Rattus norvegicus: one gene and its partner. Each later gene encodes a partner of the first gene's protein in a complex. Links are inferred from orthologs where the notes say so. Each region holds a gene or a part of one and is shown on either strand. Other genes may lie near its edges.

Region 1 (3,810 bases):
CAGTTGTACAGTCCGCACTGGCCTCTTACTTGCAGTCGCCTTGCTTCAGCCTCCCAAGTGCTGAGGTTTGGGCGTGTGCCACCGTGCTAGGCCTGGAGGCTTTTCTTGATCAGTCTTATTAGCAACTGTAGCCTTGGCATCGGAACATGGTACCTGGCTTGCTGGGGCTCCTATCCACCAGGGGTGCTTAGATGTCTGGGTAGTGAGCCACCCCTTTCTGCCCACAGCCACCTCCGTGGATAAAGGCGAGTGTGTTGGCGGGTCGACGCTGAGCCTTCTCCATGATAGGAGCTTCAACTACACAGGGGACAGCCAGGCGCAGGAGCTGTGCCTCTATCTGACCAAGGCGGCCAGCGCTCCTTACTTTGAGATCCTGGAGGAGTGGATCTACAGAGGCGTCATTCACGACCCATACAGGTAGGCTCTGCGGGTGCCAGACACCTTTCACTTGGACGCTCACGGTGCAGTAGGCTCTGCGGGTGCCAGACACAAGTCCTCAACATCAACACAATGGCTGTGAGCTGAGGAGCGTGTGTCACTCACTCACTGCCTTGCAGCTTTGTCTGTTGAATGAGGAACACTGGTATTAACTCTGGAGCCCACGTCCTTACTGCTTCCACGTGGTTGAATAGTGTGTCACTTGAGCATGATGCCTTTGATTATGTAAAGCAAATGACCAGTTGATAGAGAACTGGGGATGAAGGAAGCCCAGGCCTTGCGTGTGAAGCCCAGGCCTTGCGTGTGAAGCCCAGGCCTTGCGTGTGCTCTACCGTAGGGTGGGCCTTGTGTTTCTTTATGGAGGGGCCAAACAGGAGAATTTGGTGTGATGGGCCTAGTAGGGGACGCGGTTTCCTTCTGGCCACAGGTAAATGGTTCTTGAAGCTCTGTGGGAGGGTCTGATTCTGTTGTTGATAAACCTGTGTACCCAGGACAAGCCATATGTCTGTCCTGTTGCCATAATGCAAGAGTAGGGAAGAAGCCACCCAGCTCTGCAAATTAGACTCCTGCTCCCAAGTAAGGCTGGAAGTATGTGACCACCCCGAGGTTGTCCAGGCTTGTCCTGTAGTGGCCTGAAACACTGTGACTTCCAGTGAGTTCATGGTGGAGGAGCACGAGCTGCGGAAGGAGAAGATACAGGAGGACTACAATGACAAGTACTGGGACCAGCGCTACACTGTGCTGCCACAGCAGATCCCATCCTTCCTGCAGAAGGTAGCAGGCAAGATCCTCAGCACAGGTGACTATGCTTGGACCGCTCTCCAAGGAGGTCAATGGCCTCTTCATGCTGTGTCATGGGACCCGTGGGTCATCACAGCCTTCCAGGCCCTCTGCCCCTGAAGATGACTTAGCTGGGAATGGCCTACTACCCTGAGCTTCTAGCCACTGGTTGGCCCTAGTTCTCCATCACTTTATTCAGCCCCCTAATCAGGACGCTGTCTGCCTCAGACAAAGCCTTCTATCTTGGGTTTTACATCTAACTCCATCATATAGCAAAGAAAAGCCATGAGGAACCCACACCTTCCAGGCCAGCTGCATCTTTTAGTTTTATTGCACAGGATAGGGACTGATGTAGAGATTAGGCAAATCCTTGGGGCCTTAACATAGTGCTCTGCTCTGAAAGCTGAACAGAATCAGAAAGGGCTAGGAGATTACTTAGCAATCTATCTCTCAAGGCTTTTCAAAATCCTTCCTATAAAATACAGACCTGAAAAACTATTGCACAATCTTTCCAGGAAACAAATTGTACCTCATGTCTGGCCTACTTCCCCATGTTTGATTGGCGTCATAAAGGCCCAGGCCTGAGACTCAGCATGTACAGGGATACTGAGTCCACCTTCCTTTTTCTTTTTGTTCTCAGGAAAATACCTAAATGTGGTCAGAGAATGTGGTCATGATGTCACCTGTCCCGTAGCCAAAGAGATCATCTATACCCTCAAAGAGCGGGCATATGTGGAGCAGATTGAGAAAGCGTTCAATTATGCCAGCAAAGTGCTGCTGGACTTCCTCATGGAGGAGAAGGAGCTGGTGGCCCACCTGAGGTTGGACTTCACTTTGTATCCAAGGGGCTGAAAGTAGAATGTTCCTCTTAGCAACTACATTTTTATCTCTATAAGGGCTCCCTGCAGCCCCAGTGTGAGGTGGCAGGGTTTCCGTTCTCTAGTTCTCAGACCATGCAAGCCAACAGGTCTCTCAGCTCCTTGCTGTCAGTCCCTCCCCTTCCGTGTCTGAGCAGAGCAGCTCCATGTCTCAAACCTCTTCCTTGTATGTTGAAGGCAGAGGTCAGGTTATATGTTCAACAACCCTGGCACAGGTCCATCAAGCGCTACTTCCTGATGGACCAGGGGGACTTCTTTGTGCACTTCATGGACCTGACTGAGGAGGAGCTCAGGAAGCCAGTAGAGGACATTACGCCCACACGCCTGGAGGCTCTGTTGGAGCTGGCCCTGAGAATGAGCACTGCCAACACTGACCCCTTCAAAGACGACCTCAAGGTGAGTGTGGTGTTTACCATCATGGCACCTTGCTTCCGCTACACTGGAGTGAACACATAGCAGGGCCCAGTGAGGGTGTCCTACCGGATGTTCTTCCTATTTCAGAGGACACTGGCTTGCAAGCATTTTGTTAAGAGATTTGTGTCTGGTCTCACAGGAGACACTGTTTGTAATTTTCCTGTGAGTTTGGTCCATGTCAGTGTCAAATCAGGCCAACCCCTCACGGAGTGTAGGTGGACGGATGCTCTTTCTTCCTCAGGTTGGGGAGTGGTGTGAGTTATTCAGGGTCTGTCAGGGCTCTTTTCTCTGGGAGATACTGCATCAAGGCTTCATTTCATGCCGGTTGAGGTCTTCCATAACTTCTGCTTCCAGAGTTCATCCTGGCCACCAGTACATTTCTGTTGCCATCAACAGGGTGTGTGTTTGCGGCCATGCAGTAAGAGCTGTTATGGTTTCTAAGGTTGCAGGAGAACTCCACTTTCATCTCTGGGTCCCGTGGTTTGTCCTCTTTCCTCGCTCATGGAAGTGAGAGCTTGTCAGTCCCACTGATGTTCTTAGGAACTCAGTCTTGGTTTTAGTACTTCCTTCCTTTCTCTTTGTCTCTTCAGCTTATTGTTTCTGTTAGCTTTGGGCCTACTTTCTGTTGGTAGTTTCTTGAATTTTGAAGTTAGGCTATTTTAGGATGCTTTATTTTCCCCTATTTCAAGAGGCTCTATGATTTCTTTAGTGATTTGTTTCCATTTAGTTGTAAATTTTCAGGATTTTCTTCTGTTGCTTAGGATTTTTTTGTTTTTAATTTTTATTTTATATGTGTGGATATTTTGCTTGCACACATACCTGTGCAACACATGTGTGCAGAGGACAGAGGAAGGCATGGATCCCAGGACCTGGAGTTACAGACAGTTGTGGGCCACTGTGTGGGTGCTGGGAACTGAACCTGGGTTCTCCAGCTCTCTTACTTAGTTTTAACCTCACTATTTCATGTAAGTTTTATAACATCATGATGGTGCTGGGATTCTGCATGGGCTCTTCCTCTCTTGGCAGGTCTTGGATGGTTCTCAGTGCTGTGCACACAGCTTCCATCTGTTACGAGAGTGAGGCTGAGGCTCCACTGTTCCTGAGAACTTGGTTTTCCTTGCAATTCTGTTCTTCATGTATTTCTGGATCTCTTATTAAGTTCAGGAGTTATTGTGTAGGGTGCATTATTCCTAATGGCAGTCTGACCTGATCATCCAGGTGGACCACACAAGAGCCATCTCAGGTGCTGGCTGTGGGGCAAATGAGTCATGTCTGCTCACCTGATGTCCCCACCTGTGCT
Region 2 (4,242 bases), on another chromosome or scaffold:
AAGGGAACATCCCATCTCCCTGCCCAGTTTTTGCTTCCAAGGTGTTCTCTGGATGGTTCTGTCCCGGTGACTCAGGGAGTAGCAAACAAATGAACAAACAAAAACCCAACAACAACACAACAGAACCCCCCAAAACTTCCAGCTCAAGGGGGTAAAGAAACAACGTGGAAAGAGATTATCTAGGAATTCTACTTCAGTTCCTGTTACTGTGACAAACACAGCAAAAAGCAACTTGGGAAAGAAAGGACTTGTTTGACTTTCAGTTTTAGGTTACAACACATTATTTCTGGGGAGTCAAAGCAGGATGTCCACAGTCAAGAGCAGAGGGAATTAAATGCATGGATCCTTGCTTGCTGGCTGGCAGCTAGCTTTCTCTTTTATGCTGTGCAGGAACACCTACCAAGGGAATAGTGCCACCTACAATAGGCCAGGTCTTCCTGTATCAATTAACCATCAGGCCAGTCCCTTCCAGACATGTTAACAGGTCAGCTCAAGGTAGGTAACTCATCAAAACTCTCTTCTTATTGACCAATGAGGTGTTCGCATTTTTTGTTTTTTAGTTATTTTATTATTTTTTTTTTTTTACTTCTACCTTCCTTCCAACCTTTATTTCACTCTGATCCCTTCCAACGCCCCAAACACTAGATATGGGAGAAAGAAGGCTAAAGGGGGAAGCGGTCATAGTCCTCTTTAGACTACTTCCTGCTGATTAGGGCTGTCGAGCTTCTTGGGGCCAGTTCGATCTTCATGTCAGGGTATCTCCAGCTTCCTGTTAACCAACAACAGCAACCAGAAGCGGGGGGTGGGGGAGAGTAGCAGCCTCCCTTCAAGCACCCCTGCCCCTCTCAGGCCTCTGGCATTTATACTCTCTCCAGAGTCCCCAGAATCAAACTATCTGCAGCTGGCAAAGATCACGCCCCTTCCAGTGCATGAGGCAAATCATAATCACCTGCTGGGAAGCAGCCTCTCATCCCACACCTGGGATTAAAACAAAAACATTCACAGAACATAACTGGGTTTTAAAAGAAACCAGGGGCTGGGGATTTAGCTCAGTGGTAGAGCGCTTACCTAGGAAGCACAAGGCCCTGGGTTCGGTCCCCAGCTCCGAAAAAAAGAACCCCCCCCCCCAAAAAAAAAAAAGAAACCAGTCAACAGTAAGGTGACTCAGCGGGTAAGGTAGAGATGCTTGCCACCACAACTTAATGACCTCAGCGGTTCCTGAGATCCACGTGGTGAAAGAGAACCAACCGGCACACGCTGTCCTCTGACCTCCACACGTATGCATCTATGCATGGACAGGTATGCCTCCCCCAAAATAAGCAACAGTGTAATTAAAATATTAACCCGCATACCAAAGAGTCAAGGCTAATGACTTCTTAAACGCAGGCTTACCTGTCATTCAGTCGCTCTAAGAGGTAGGAGCCCAGACCGGAACCTGTCCCCCCAGCAATGGAGTGACACAGCACAAATCCCTGAATGGGGAGAGAAAGAGGCAGTGTCCAGGTATCTCAAAGAGAGACATCAGCCTTGTCTCTGAGGCTCCTTGGAAAGGCTCAGAGACCAAGGAGAGGCTAAGTGACAGCACTGAGATTCTGATTTCCCTGGAACAAGGCAGTGGCTTAGTCACCTTAATGCGTTCTATATGATGTCCCCGAATGGATGCCCAGTTGAATGGCTCCACCGCATCACGTGTTTAAATCCTGCCTGATCTTTTCCCCCAGTCTGTTTCCCTGTGGAACACCCTCACCTCTAGACTGTCACTTCCATCTGCTTCTCGGTCTATGATGTCAAAGATGTCCTCGTGAATTTTCTCGCCCTATATGTAGACATGGGGAAGGGAAAGTCAGGCCAAAGGCTCCTTTCTCAGCACCAAGAACTCCACACTTGGTCTCTGTTGCCATCCTGAAGCTGAGCTTCCCGACTGCAACCTTTCTCAACCCAGAAATGCTACTTTGTGAAAGGATTTACATAAAATTTGCATAACCTTCCAAGTAGTCCCTCTTCTCAACATATCCATTAGTCTCTTTAATAATTGCAAGTCTAGCCTGGACAGATCCCCAGGTTTGTTTGAGCCTTGCCTTATCCCTGGCTAGGATTACCAAGAAAGTCTGGGACTGACACCTGGGAGAATCCCCTGGCCCAGTTGTTGCCAGCCCCTCCTCCATGCTCGGACAGGTAGATGTTCTCTGGGTTGTAGAGCTTGGCATAGGAGGAGTTGAGGATGGAATGGATCACCCGGGGCTCCAGATCCAGCAGCACAGCCCGGGGGATGTAATGCTCATCGTCTGCCTGTCAAAGGGAAGCCAGGATTGGCCCAGGGAGCTAGGATGAGTCAAGTCCCCAACTCTGGTTTCGGCAGGCCCTCCCTCAAGACAGCCATTCTGTTCCCATCTGCCCAGTGACTTTCCCAGCACCATGTGGCTGCCAGTCCCTTCAGGTCTCCAAGGTCCTGGCAAGTTTCTGTGGAGGGGGAGGGGCACCTGGTAGAAAAAGACGTCCTTGCGGTCAGTGCCCTCGGTGGCGAACTCCTCTACGATGCCCTCCGGGCTGATGCCATGCTCAGCACACAGCTGTTTCCAGAATTCGAACCCAACTGGGGGAGGGGGAAAGAGGCCCAAGTCTGCTAGAGCCTTAAGGCCTGAGAACCCCAGGCTCAGAGCCTATTACACTCCAGGAGGTGACCCAAAACGCCTGGGTCTGGAAGATGTCACAGCCCAGGGCTGAGAAGGCAGCTCTTCCCTGAATCATCATGCTCAATAGGAAGGGTGGTCCATGGGAAGGACAAAGGGAATTGATGGGTACCAGGCACTTGAGTGCGGCCCGAGGGATAGAACCAGAGACTAGCGGGGCACAGTGATTGCTTGCTCACTCTGGTTGCCGCACTGGCCCAGCTGCAGGGTGATGATCTCCCGGGGCATCTCCGATCAGACGGGAGCTCGTCTGGCCTGGCCGGGCGGGGGTCACGGCTGAGAGGAACTCCTGCCAGCCAGAGGCGCAGGACATGGGGAACGCGCTGTCCGCCGCTGTTTTGATGCGGGCGCTGTGTCTGCGCGTGTGCAGTGTGGGCTCTCCGCAGCCGGCGGGCGGCAGAGCCCATCCTGGGCATCATTTTCTCTCCTAGCAGTTGCAGCTGGAATTCAGCACAGGCGCAGAGTGAGGCCACGCTTCCTGTCACTATGTGCGCGTGCGCACGGTAACACTTGGCCAGCGGAGGATCCCCAGGGATGTGGGGGAGGAGAGGGAGAAGCGGCCAGGTGGATGCTCCAAGTGTGGGAGTCACCTGCCTACACCTGCCGGATCTGCTAAATTGAGGGGCTATATTTAAGTTGGGGAATTGAACCCATGTCCCCGAGCATGCTAGGCAAGAGCCAAACCACTTAGCTACACATCTAACCCAAGCCAAATTTGTGTGTGTGTGTGTGTGTGTGTGTGTGTGTGTGTGTGTGTGTATTTTTTTTTTTTTTTTTTTTTTTTTTTTGGAGCTGAGGACCAAACCCAGGGCCTTGCGCTTGCTAGGCAAGCGCTCTACCACTGAGCTAAATCCCCAACCCCGTGTGTGTGTGTATTCTTTAATTTTATCTTTTTGTGTATCATGACAGGGTTTCTCCGTGTAGCCTTGGCGATCCTGGAACTCACTCTGTAGACTAGGCTGCCTCGAATACATAGATCTGCTTGCCTTAGCCTCCCAAGTGCTGGGACTAAAAGGGTTCAGCTATTTTCATAGTCTTACACTATGAAAACTATAGAGTTTGTCATCTGGGACCTGGTGTGGTGGCTTGTGCCTTTAATCCCAGCACTTGGCGGGGCAGAGGCAGAGCCCGGAGGATCTTTGTGAGTTCTAGGTCATCCAATCTATTTAATGGATTTCAGGCCAACTGGAGCTACATAGTGAGACCCTGGGTCATAAAATAAATCACCATCTTAGGCTGGCGGGCGTCATAAGGGCCTGTCTGACCAACCTGACAATATCTGAGTTTGATTGTGGGGTCCCCATGATGGAAAGAGAGAATCAAGAACCTACTCCTGGGTTGTCCTTTGACCCCTGTATATGCTTGCTCTTGGAGTATGCAAACTTGCACAGAATAAATAAATATAATTAGAAAGTAGGTCCTGGGCTGGAAAGATGGCTCAGCAGTTAAGAGCACTGACTGCTCTTCCAGAGGTCCTGAGTTCAAATCCCAGCAACCACATGGTGGCTCACAACCATCTGTAATGAGATCTGATGTCCTCTTTTCGTGTGTC

Evidence for each region.
Region 2: Tubgcp2 (region 1) and Tubg2 share a complex: the UniProt entries of both Homo sapiens proteins name them as parts of the gamma-tubulin ring complex. The link is inferred for Rattus norvegicus from reciprocal best matches to the Homo sapiens genes TUBGCP2 and TUBG2.

The regions. Positions count from the first base shown.
Region 1 is NC_086019.1:204,228,544-204,232,353, reverse strand, and holds part of Tubgcp2 (gamma-tubulin complex component 2), read left to right. Parts: intron 1-227; coding exon 228-417; intron 418-1,091; coding exon 1,092-1,237; intron 1,238-1,858; coding exon 1,859-2,039; intron 2,040-2,311; coding exon 2,312-2,492; intron 2,493-3,810. UniProt on the Homo sapiens protein: Component of the gamma-tubulin ring complex (gTuRC) which mediates microtubule nucleation.
Region 2 is NC_086028.1:86,590,391-86,594,632, reverse strand, and holds the start of Tubg2 (tubulin gamma-2 chain), read right to left. Parts: upstream 3,024-4,242; 5' UTR 2,919-3,023; coding exon 2,870-2,918; intron 2,594-2,869; coding exon 2,481-2,593; intron 2,290-2,480; coding exon 2,122-2,289; coding exon of another isoform or gene 2,100-2,121; intron 1,817-2,099; coding exon 1,748-1,816; intron 1,473-1,747; coding exon 1,393-1,472; intron 1-1,392. UniProt on the Homo sapiens protein: Tubulin is the major constituent of microtubules, protein filaments consisting of alpha- and beta-tubulin heterodimers. Gamma-tubulin is a key component of the gamma-tubulin ring complex (gTuRC) which mediates microtubule nucleation.